Linked DNA regions of Drosophila melanogaster. The protein of the gene in region 1 interacts with the protein of each later gene in a pairwise test. Each region holds a gene or a part of one and is shown on either strand. Other genes may lie near its edges.

The links.
Region 2: the proteins of CG12877 (region 1) and SmydA-6 interact in a two-hybrid assay, tested with the Drosophila melanogaster proteins (one large-scale study listed by BioGRID).

What each region holds. Positions count from the first base shown.
Region 1 is NT_033777.3:27,705,159-27,711,580, reverse strand, and holds CG12877 (uncharacterized protein), read right to left. Parts: upstream 4,482-6,422; 5' UTR 4,372-4,481; coding exon 4,263-4,371; intron 4,205-4,262; coding exon 2,783-4,204; intron 2,725-2,782; coding exon 2,214-2,724; intron 1,956-2,213; coding exon 1,362-1,955; intron 1,305-1,361; coding exon 1,045-1,304; intron 968-1,044; coding exon 888-967; 3' UTR 724-887; downstream 1-723. Other genes in the region: CROT (carnitine O-octanoyltransferase), read left to right, coding at 5,740-6,117, 6,194-6,422.
Region 2 is NT_033778.4:17,044,930-17,049,585, forward strand, and holds SmydA-6 (SET and MYND domain containing, arthropod-specific, member 6), read left to right. Parts: upstream 1-1,909; 5' UTR 1,910-1,915; coding exon 1,916-1,980; intron 1,981-2,035; coding exon 2,036-2,164; intron 2,165-2,221; coding exon 2,222-3,350; intron 3,351-3,404; coding exon 3,405-3,578; 3' UTR 3,579-3,865; downstream 3,866-4,656. Other genes in the region: SmydA-7 (SET and MYND domain containing, arthropod-specific, member 7), read left to right, coding at 49-101, 153-1,416, 1,474-1,623; CG9646 (uncharacterized protein), read left to right, coding at 4,381-4,498.

The DNA.
Region 1 (6,422 bases):
TGTGCCAGCTCAATAGATAAACACGTGTCGCCATCAGCCATTTCCCGCAAGGATTGGGGTTTGGGATCCCACTTAATGCCTATGGCTCCTCCTGTCATTCGGTGGAGCTGGAGCTGGCCGGGGGCAACAATTATGCCGAATTAAGTGCTGAAACTTTGGCTGCATTCTCAATAAGCCAAACTTTTACCGGAACGCACAGAACGGAAAATTATAAAACGTTAAAATTGAAAAATCATGCGCCAGTGAGGAGCAACCAGAAGCCAATATCCAGATGGTGCCCACGGCCAGCAGACGAGGCCGAGTATAATTGAAAAATATAAAGTATCGCCGCAATCTGATTAAAATTACATTTAAATAATAACAACAAAAACAAGGCGGCCAACCTGGGGGCGGGACGAGGGCAGCGGCGAATATTCTGTGATGTGCGTCAGGCACGAAACTTGCAATTACAGTTTGTAACGCGGTGGCAGGTAAAAAACTTTACAAAACTTTCCAATTGCTTTTCATTGAATTGTTATCGATAGTGAAGAGAATGGAAAAAACGCAAGGAAAAATGGGCAAGGCAAAAATAGAGAAAAATGAACAAATATACCTGGTTGAAGGCTCGAGGTAAGAAATTCTTCAAAGGACTCGCCAAATCCGTAGCGTACTGTACAGCGTTCTTTAAGTTCCATGTGCCACACTTCAATCACTTTAAATTGGCATTTAAAGCAAGCTTTACTTATTTTTCGCTGTCATCGCTTGGTGATATATTTATACAGTTTGATTTTACATAATATGGTTAGCTTAAAGGCTAAGGCTTTGATTTTTGATGGGCATGATATACATATTAACAGATGTACGTAATGCTTTTGAACTGAATGCTTGCGATGGTGCGTGATAGCAGCTCAACTGATTTTGTTGCGCAGATAATACTTGATGAGCTGAATGCACACCTCAGCATCCTCGGCACTGTCGTGGCCAGCCTCTGTGGAAGAAGGAAATATAATAATTATAATAAACTTCTTACGTCAAGTGATAAAGTAAAAGACTAGACACACTCACCGCTCTCCTGTATAATCCGCTTTAGGTTTTCAATGCACAGTGTTTTCAGAGCTCGCTTCTTTGGCGGTCCCATCTTGTGGGGAAACAGCACCGATGTGTCCACCACAACGTCGTGAATGAGTTTGAGTGCCTTCAAATCGCTCTCCAGACTGTGGCCAACGAGCACGGTTTTGGCATGGAACATGGACATCAGCACCGCCTGAACGTCGCGTATGGTACGCGTCTCATTGGAGAGCATCGCCTCCGTGATGCCCGAGTAGCTGAAGTCAGAGTATTGCAGATTAATACGAAACAACCGAAAAGCTACATTCACCCACGTCGTATTGTAGTCCACAATCTGGTTGTCCGGCTTGACAAGAGCATCGTAAACGCTGCGTCCATTTATGTCCACCACCGTAACGCGGGTTAGCTCTATTCCGTGTGTGGTATAACACATCTCGCAATCCAGTGCATATATGTCCTTCTTAGTGGGCACAAATTCCTCACCCCGTTCGATCGTCTTCACGAAACAGGTGAGCTTTTCCGGATCGTAATAGTCGCTGACGTGGTAGTTGGCATAGGTGCAGCCTGGAGTGCCCGCCGGCTGCTGGCAGCAGCGATGCTGGTGGTCCGTGAATCCTCGTCGATATCCCGTGCTTTTCGGATGGTAGTTGCACATGTCAAAGCTCTGGTGCTCGTATATGTCCAAGCTGAATACCTTGCCGCAGCGGGAACAGTAGCGCTCTTTCTGGTTGGGACGACGGTTGGGGCGGCAGGCGCGTATCACTGCGGATCCGCGCTTATCGCCCGGACGCGGATATCCGTTCTCCACCAGCTGCTCTTCAGTCAGGCGAAGATCGAATACCATTTTGTAAGCTTTCTCGGCGTCTAAAGCATCGAAAGGTTCGCCATTGCCCAAGGAGCTCAGTTTTCTGCAATAGATATATATTTAATGTTTGTTAGGGTAAAGATATCAAAAACTTTTTATATGCAATTGAAATGTTAGAAATACGTACAAATGTCATAAAAGTTAACATTCATGACTTCCAGGAAGAAATGTGAAGTCATAAAGAGAAATTATGCTTATGTTTACGTTTATGCTTGTGGCCAGTGGCAGTATTTACAATTAAGCGAATTTCATCTTATAATGTGCACATAGAGAATAACTATAGTTTAGTATACAAACCCACCCCTTTTTCTCTACGCTCCAGGATGTGGTGAGCGCCCGCTTGCCGCCCAGCATCATCTCGTGCGACACAGTCTTGCAGGCTACGCTCGGCTTGTTTCCCGCCTCTAAGGCCTCCTTGCGGAGCTTGTTAATCGCCAGCATGCAGCTGTTCTTGTAGATGGCAGGCGTGTTGCACTTCTTAAAGACGGTCAACTCCTCCACCTGGGCGCGCTCCCAGGCATCTGCCAGCTGCGGATAGATGACGGTGCAGTGCCTTACCATCATCTCATAATACTGAATGCGCACGTTGTATGATATCTTGGAGCTGCTGGGATCTAGGACGGTTGGCTTCTCCGCGTTGGACACAGGAGCCGCTTTGTCTAGCGCAGCAGTGGGCTTGTGAGCCACACGGCCGGCGCCCTTGAATGATTGTGCAGGCGTAAAGGCTGGCTTCTTCTCGGCCTGCAGCTCCTCGATCTTTTTTTTGGCCCGAGCGATGGCCACAATGTTGGCCACAGGTGCTATGCTGCGAGCTGGTAACCAAAAATATTTGAATTTGAATTATTATATATTCCAAAGTGGTATGCTCACCTGATCGCACTGGTGGGGTCAGAGCACTTCGCGAAATAAGTGGCGTGAGGTTGGAGTTGACCTTGGCCTGACGGAGCTCCTCCTGCGCTTGGCGCACCCGCTCCTGTGCCTGACGTACCTGCTCCGCTGAGGCTTCGGCTTGTAGCTTCTCCTGGCGCCGCAGCTCCGCGCGGCGGTTGAAGATCGCCTGCATGGCATTACGGACGTGATTGGGTTTGCGCATCGCCGCCGAAGGAGCCAAATGAGGCGTGATCTTGTCAGCATTCTCGTGGGCCACCCGGCGCTTCTGCAGAGCCGCCGTGGCTGCCTCGGTGAAGGTATCAATGTCCGGAGAAGGAGCTTTGCGCTTGCGAGAACTCTCCGGGTTGGCATTGCCGCCTTCGTCCTTGTGCATCTGCGCAAATTTTTTTTCCATCTCGTCAAAAATCATTTCACACTGGCGTACAATTTCTCCTTCCGAGGTGTCTGCTTCAAAATCAAAGTCCATGTCATCCAGATCATCCATAGGTTCTGCTGGTGTCAGTACAGCTGCTTCAGTATCCTTATCCGCCTCCGGTTCGCTCTTTGAAGTGCCAGCGCTTTTGCTGGAAGACGAGCTCCTCTTAGTTTTGGACCGTGAACTCGAGGAACTAGATTTGTGATGATGGCTCTTCGAGGAGGATGATGAAGAACTGCTCTTGTGCCTGCTACTGGAACTTTTGTCGTCGCGGTGCTTATCGCTGCTGGATGACTTTTTGCTGGAAGAGGAGCTAGATGAAGACTTGTGCTTAGAGGAACTTGAGCTTGAAGTATTTCGCTCCTTGGAGCGCTCCTTGTCGCTGTGGGAGGACTTTCGCTTATCCCTATCATTTTTTTCCTTCTCTCTGTCCCTTTCCTTGCTCTTCTCTTTGTCTTTTTCCCGGTCCCGGTCCCGGTCCCGATCCCTGTCTTTGATCTTTTCCCTTTTCAGCTCTCTGATCTTCTTCTTTTCTATATCCCTTTCCCGCTCCTTGCTGGGCTTTCGATCCTTTTCGTGGCTATCCCTAGCATCCGTCAGTTGCGTATTCTCCTGGTCCTCCTCGTTTTCAGCTACCGTATCTATCTTCTGTTCTTCGTCGTTATTCTGGACTTGCTCCTCAATCTCCACCTGCATCTGCTCATCAATTTCCTTTTCGAGTACCGCCTGCCAATCGTCATATTCTTCGCCATTTGTAACAGATGGCTGGCCGGGCACATATTTGGGAGCACTGTCCACGGACGCCTCCTGCTTCTTCTTAGCCGGCGATGCGTCAAGAGCCGGCTTCTCCGGGTGGTACTCCAGATTGGACTTCTTCCGGGGCGCACATAGCGTGATCTGGGGCAGTGGAAGGGAGAGCAACTTGGGTGCCGGCTTGTACTTGGGCACGGGGGAAGGTTCTGCAGGTGGAGCGGCCTCCAATTCGTCTGTAAACCGAGAGTGGATAGAATTTGTTGCGAAATTAACTGGACGTAATTCACTCACCTTTGCGAGCATGCTTAAAGTGGCAAAAGGGGCGCTTGCAGGACGCCGCATCCTGGCCGTCAAAGTAAGGGCACAAGAAGCCCTTAAAGAGACCCGTGGATGGCAGCATTTCCACCTCTTGCTGGGATTAGAAATTTAATAAAGCCGCTTGAGAAAACAAGCGTCCCAAATTTCTTTCTATTCTTTCTGCCTGTCTCTTTCACTCATTTCGACAGATGTCAGCTGTTTCAGCTGCTGGCGGCGTTGCCAGATAGGCGTCAGCATGGATGCTATGAATGGATGCTAAGGAATTAAATTAAATAAATTTAAATAAGTTTTAAATATTTACAAAACATTGAATGACCTATTTAATTAATAATTGTAAACAATATTCGCATTTTGTTAACGGTTACAATGTACGTTTATGGCAGTTGATTGCATCAATCCGGGAGGATTATATCTTGCGGTACGATGTACAATGCTATGCGATGTTAATAAGAATAAGATGTACGTAATAAGAATGTGGTGACTAACGGTATAAACAAATGGTGTAAAAAGTCTGGCAACTCCTGCAAACAGCTGTTTGCTGTGCCAATTTCCTATAGGGTCTTCGCCGCTTGTAAACAAAAACGCAGCAGTATAATAATAAAAATAATTGTTTAACCTATAAAATTGTTTGCTTATCTAGCCTAATGAACTTGATAGCTGCGGAACCGTTTTAATTTCGATCGAGTGCATCGCAAACTGAAGTTCGGGCGCGACATTCAACTGCCGCCTCATCGAAGGTTTGTGTGGGTGTGTCTGCTGGAATATGTTATTAAAAAAGAAATTCATATAGAAATTCAAATGAAACCGGCCATTATCGGTGGCCGACTGTCTGCAATAGCAATGATTAGGGTGATATATTATCGCACTGAGTCAGTGGACGCGGGTGGCGGATCCCACGGTGCGATAATTCAAGTGCTCCCCCTCCGGCAAGGTTTGCTGTGATATGGAACCAACCTATGGATTCAGTCGTATAACGGCAGTCTGGCGCTTCAGTTGTCTCCGGCAAAAGTGAATTCCCCATCGAGTACAAAGGTCAGTGGGCTAGAAATTCGCCTATGATTTCACCAGTGCGCCGGGAGTATAAATATTTATAAAGCTCCCCAATCCGGACTTTGTCCAGCTTGAGGAGATTAGTGAAGATAGTCGTCTAGCTGCAGTCCAAGAAAGATTACGTTCAACTTGACGCATAATCCGCTTAGTTGCACATTAAGTGTTCTTAGTTGTGTGGTATTAATTTGCACACCATTTTAATGTTTAACCTATAAGATGAGATCAATTTATTTCCGATGTGAATGTACTCAGTAATGTATTGGGTGAACTTTGGACCTGACGAACGTAAAAGCGATTCCCGATATGATTATTGTACTAATCTGACTTAGGCCTATAGAAAACCACCACACGCGCAGACTGATATCAACGATTCCAACGTGTCCCCCGCAGCTAAACCACCATGGACCGGGCTAGTCTATATTTTATGAGCAAGGATGATAAGAACACCTTCGACTTCGACGAGACCTTACCTTCGCTCCCGCTGCCGGAGCTTAGGGACACCATGGAGCGCTACTACAGCTGCATCCAGCCATTCGGGACCAAGGAGGAGTTGGCCCAGGCCCGCAAGACTATTGATGAGTTCCAAAACGGAGTGGGAGCCCAGCTGCACGAACAGCTCAAGAAGCGGGCGGCCGGCATGAGGAACTGGCTGGGCACCTGGTGGGAGGACTACGGATATCACCTGATTCGGATGCCGCTGCTGCCCTACCAGCTCATGGTCATGCCCTCGCAATTGGAAATGGTGGGCGTGCCGGAGACACCGGAGTACATGCTGAAGGTGAGTGGACCCACACCCCAAGCTCTATAAGAACACAAAGTTTAAGATTGCCTAATTGACTGTATAATTTTCGAAGAGTCTGGCGCGCCACATTCACCACTCGCTGGAGTTTTGGGATCTGACTAGAAAGTCCAGCATCAAACCGCTCTCCTCGAACGGCGGTAAAATAAAGTACTCCTCCGCGCTGTACAAGCACTTCTTCTCCACGTGCCGTGTGCCAGGCGAGGAGCAGGATCATATAGAGAAGCATTTTCTCACCAAGGATGAGGGCAAAACGCCGAGTCACATGCTTATTTCCGGCAAGG
Region 2 (4,656 bases), on another chromosome or scaffold:
TGGCAGAATCACTAAATTACTTTTCTCGCCAGGCAACAGACGTAATCGATGCAAGAATTTGGCGAAAATATTCAGCATGCTCACGATGAGAAGTTGGGCAGGTAAGTTCAAATAGCTTTCTAAAACAATAGTTAAAGTGTAATTCTGTGCAGGCATCTGGTGGCTAGTATAGCCATCGAACCGGGAGATACCATATTGGAGGAGCGACCCTTGCTGGTAGCTCCACACTGGGAATGCCATCAGCTGAAGTGCGCGCAATGCCTTCAGGAATCCTATGTGATATGCCGAAGGTGTCAGGTATTTCCCCTGTGCATGGACTGCAACCAGCATGATGAATTCGAGTGTGAGTTTTTCACCAGCGGAGCAGGAAAAGCCCTCTGCAAGGATATTCTTGTGAAGAACTTTGGCATATGTGGACTCCTAAAGCTCCTTCTTCTGCTAGAGAATCCTCGTACAAAAGGCGATTGCCAAATGCTCATCGATGTTCCTATAAATCTGAGTGATTACCGCGACGGAGAAGGAATGTGGCAAGAGCACGAGGAGCTAGTGGTGCGTCCACTAATGGAGAGTGGCCTAGCGGATGTTCTACCCACTCAGGAGCTAACTTCGGATGCACTTCACGCCCATTGCATACGTATCGACAGTAATTCCTTCGAGGTGACCGCAAAGGATGGTGATACCTTGAAGGGAATTTTTGTTTGGGGTGCTACTTTACCGCACCACTGCGTTCCAAACACGGTGGTGGCCTTGGATGAACAGTTCAACATGAAGCTATATGCGGCGGTTCCCCTGCAGCCTGGCGACATCATCTACAACTCGTACACCAATCCTCTGATGGGCACCAGTCAGAGACAACACCAACTGCGTCTAAGTAGAAGACTGGAGTGTATCTGCTCGCGCTGTCTGGATCCGACCGAGATGGGCACCCACATGAGCAGCCTGAAGTGCAAGGAGTGCCCCGGATTTTCAGTTTGCGAGATTGATTCAAATGGAAAACTTGGAGACTGGCGCTGCCCGGATTGTAGAGCCCTGTTAACCGCTGCCGAGGTCCACGAACTACAGGCTGCAGTGGGATCGGCCTTAGTAGACGCCATGGGTGACCTGCAGGTATACGAAGCTCTACTGACCCAGTACGGGCCACTGCTCCATCCCAATCATTTCATGCTGCTGGACATCAAGCAGAACATTGCCAGTATTCTGCGAGCGGCTGCTTTAATGAACTCCATGGACCAGCCGTGCAAGAAACTTCTCGCCCGCCGGGTGGAACTCTGCTCCGACTTACTGCCCGTCTGTCGGGCTGTGGTTCCAGGCATCTCCAAGCTGTATGCCATTGGTCTGTTTGAGTACTTGCTGGCCTTGGTGGAGCTGGTGGAATTGCAATTTGCCGAAAGTGATCTGAGCAAAAAAGAATATGTGGTGAGTAAAGTGAATACCCTTTTAAAATTGCAATTATTAAATAAATGCAATTCACAGGCTCATTTAAGGACCGCGAGTCTGGTGGCCACGGAAGCAATGGACCTACTTCGCTTTGAGCCAGAAAACTCGGCAGAAGGCTATCTTGCAGACCGGATTTCAATGGAGCTGGAGCGGATTGAGTCCGATTTGAAGAAATACGGCAGATAATATCCCCATTTTGGGTACATATCTTATATCCACTTTGTGGCCCTGCTCCGGCAATTTTTAGTCTAAAACAAATTTGATTAGTCGAAGGGAAGCGAACACAATGCGCTCCCTTCAGTTGTTGCCACTTTTACATTGTGTACCGGCGACATGGTTCAACGTATGGCTGGGTGGGGGGAATCATTGACCAAGAAATAAATAAAGAATTGTCGTTCAATTAAAAATAAGTTGCCAGCATGGCGCTGGTTGTGTTGTCAGTATGCCAAAGGTAGCCAAAGGGAACGGGAAACAGAGAATGGCCGCAGTAACCGACGATTTTGCAAGGAAGTGCGAGATAAAGCAGAATGACACGCTGGGCAGGTGGGTGCATCTATAACCCATTTAAAATATTTAACCCCTGTGGGTTTCCCTGAAGATTTGCGGTTGCCCTCTGTAATGTTCGGGCTGGCGAGACCCTGCTGCTGGAGAATCCTATCGTGGTTTTGCCCCTAATGGGCGAAAGACGCTGCTCCAAGTGCTTTAATCTAACCGAGAGTTTTTGTCGGTAGGTGGACTCCATACAAATGTGTTATCCATTTACGAATCTTATGTAAACCCTTAGAAAGTGCCGTCTGTTAGCTTTGTGTGAGGATTGCTCGGATCATGACGAACGAGATTGCAAAAGGCTTGCTGAAATGAATTTTTCGGACGACCAGGTGGAGCTGCTTCAGAAAAAGGAGCACACCGAAATCCAGCCAGTTTTGAAATGCCTGCTGTTAAGAGAGCACGAGGAAACCCTGCCCTTGTACGAGGAAATGTCCCAAATGGATTCCCAACTTATGACTAGAAGAGGGACTGAAGTCTGGAAAAACTACCAGGAGCACGCATTTACTCCTCTGGATTATGGTGGAGTGCTAGCACAACTACGGGGTGCGGCGGATGAGGACCTAGTACAGGGTCTCCTAGGCATCCTGGACATAAATGCCTACGAGATAAGGGCCCCGGAGGTGGGTGGCGCCATGAGAGGACTGTATCGCCGGGCAGGACTCTTCGCCCACAGCTGCACGCCCAACCTGGTCATCTCAATCGATGACGAGCAACGTATAAAGGTCTACGCAAATCGGTTTATAGCCGCCGGAGAGATCCTTTACAATTGCTACACCAATGTGCTCCTGGGCACCGAGGAGCGTCGCAAAATCCTCAAGGTGGGCAAGTGCTTCGACTGCTCCTGTCCGCGATGCCAGGATCCCACCGAGCTGGGAACACACATGAGCAGTTTCATTTGCAGTCAATGCTCGTGCGTAGATGGCTACATAGTGCGTCAGCCGGATACCGGAATATGGCAGTGCCTTCTTAATCCGGAGCACACACTGAAACAGGAGTTTGTCTCGAATATGCTGGAACGTGCTAAGGAGGAAATATTTCACGCAAGGGATGATATATACCGGCAGGAGCTACTCTTGGCCAAGCTAAGTCGCCTACTTCATCGGAATCATTTCCTAATGCTCGATCTAAAGCAAAATATCGCCTCTATATTGCGACAGATTCTTCAGAATATGGGAACCCGACCAAATAAGAAAGTATACGAGCGGAAGATTCGTTTGTGCCAGGAGATATTGTTGGTACTTAAGGTCGTAACTCCTGGAATCTCCAGATTGAAGGCTATCGCCCTCTATGAACTGGCTAACACACAGGCCGAATTGGCCAGAAAAATGTATACTGAAATGGAGCACAGTGCCAATGACCTCCTGGTGGGAAAGTCCTGGATTTATTCCTTAATGTCAAATTAATGAAATTTTTTCTAGGCGGAATTGGAACGAGTTGAGGTCATGCTGCGGGAGTCTCTGCGAATGCTTCTATTTGAGCCACTGGCCACTCCAGAGGGCCAGCTGACGCGATCAATGCTTCGAGAGCTGAAGGAGCTGCAGGATGATATAAAAAATCTTCGGGAATCCGATGACGATGTGGTAAATCAATAAGATCTGCGAGTTTGCAGATTAAAACTGGTATTTGAATTCAATAAGCATTGTTTCCCATGTTTAACTAATGACTTATTCATGTGTATAGCATTCATCTTGTTGATTAAAAATTTGAAAAAAAAAGAGGATACAATATTAACTGAGCTAAATTTCAAATCAAATCAAACCGAAATTGTTAGGAATGTTCACGAACAATAGGAAATAATACTAGTTTGCATTACTTTTTAATGAAACTTTAAATCAATTTAAATTCGATAACTGATATAGAGCTTTAATCGAAGAGCCGCACGTTTGCTGTTATCGTTTAATTTACCGCTTTTGCAACACTACTGAGTTTATTTATTGTTATTTATCTTTTTTTTGCATTAAACAATAAAAGCTCAGCTAGACAAAAGAGTTAACCGTGGAATTTTCGACATTTCCGAATAAATAACACAAAGAGGCAGTGAAATTATGGGAACAGCTGATAACTGATAATACAGATGGGGTATGCACCGCGAATAAGGGATAAAACAACCCCCAAGTGGGAAAAAAACGAGGGTTTGCTGCTCAGTTGCGATTTGCATGTGCCGTGGAGATAAGGTGCTCCTCTGCACCGCTTGATTCTGCGACTGCAAAAAATTTCCAACCGTGGAGCAACAACAAATGCTGCAATATATACATCACTAGCCGCGTCCCCGCAACGTTGCCGCCACCCCCGCAAAGGCCGTAATGTGTTGGACGTTGTGAAATAGTAATACTCACCATTCTACATCGACATTCGTCATCCGGAAGCGCGGAGCCGTGAAAATCCCCCTTTAGGATGGCCCTCGCCAGTGCCGCCGCCGCCCTCTTGAAGGGTTCGCAGACGCCTCTGCAGCAGCTCCTGGAGGACATTAACTTCCAGCGCACCAAGGAGATGCGTCAGCTGCTCAAGGATGGTGGGTACAGCTCTAATCCGGACTCCGCAGCTCCCCGATTCGGTTCAAATAGCAGGGAAAATTTGTCTACATTTGCACTTTATCGATTTATCACAAAGGGCAACCCCTAAGGATGTGTATGCTTGTGTGTGTGCCCTGCTGCGCTTGTGTTTGTGTGT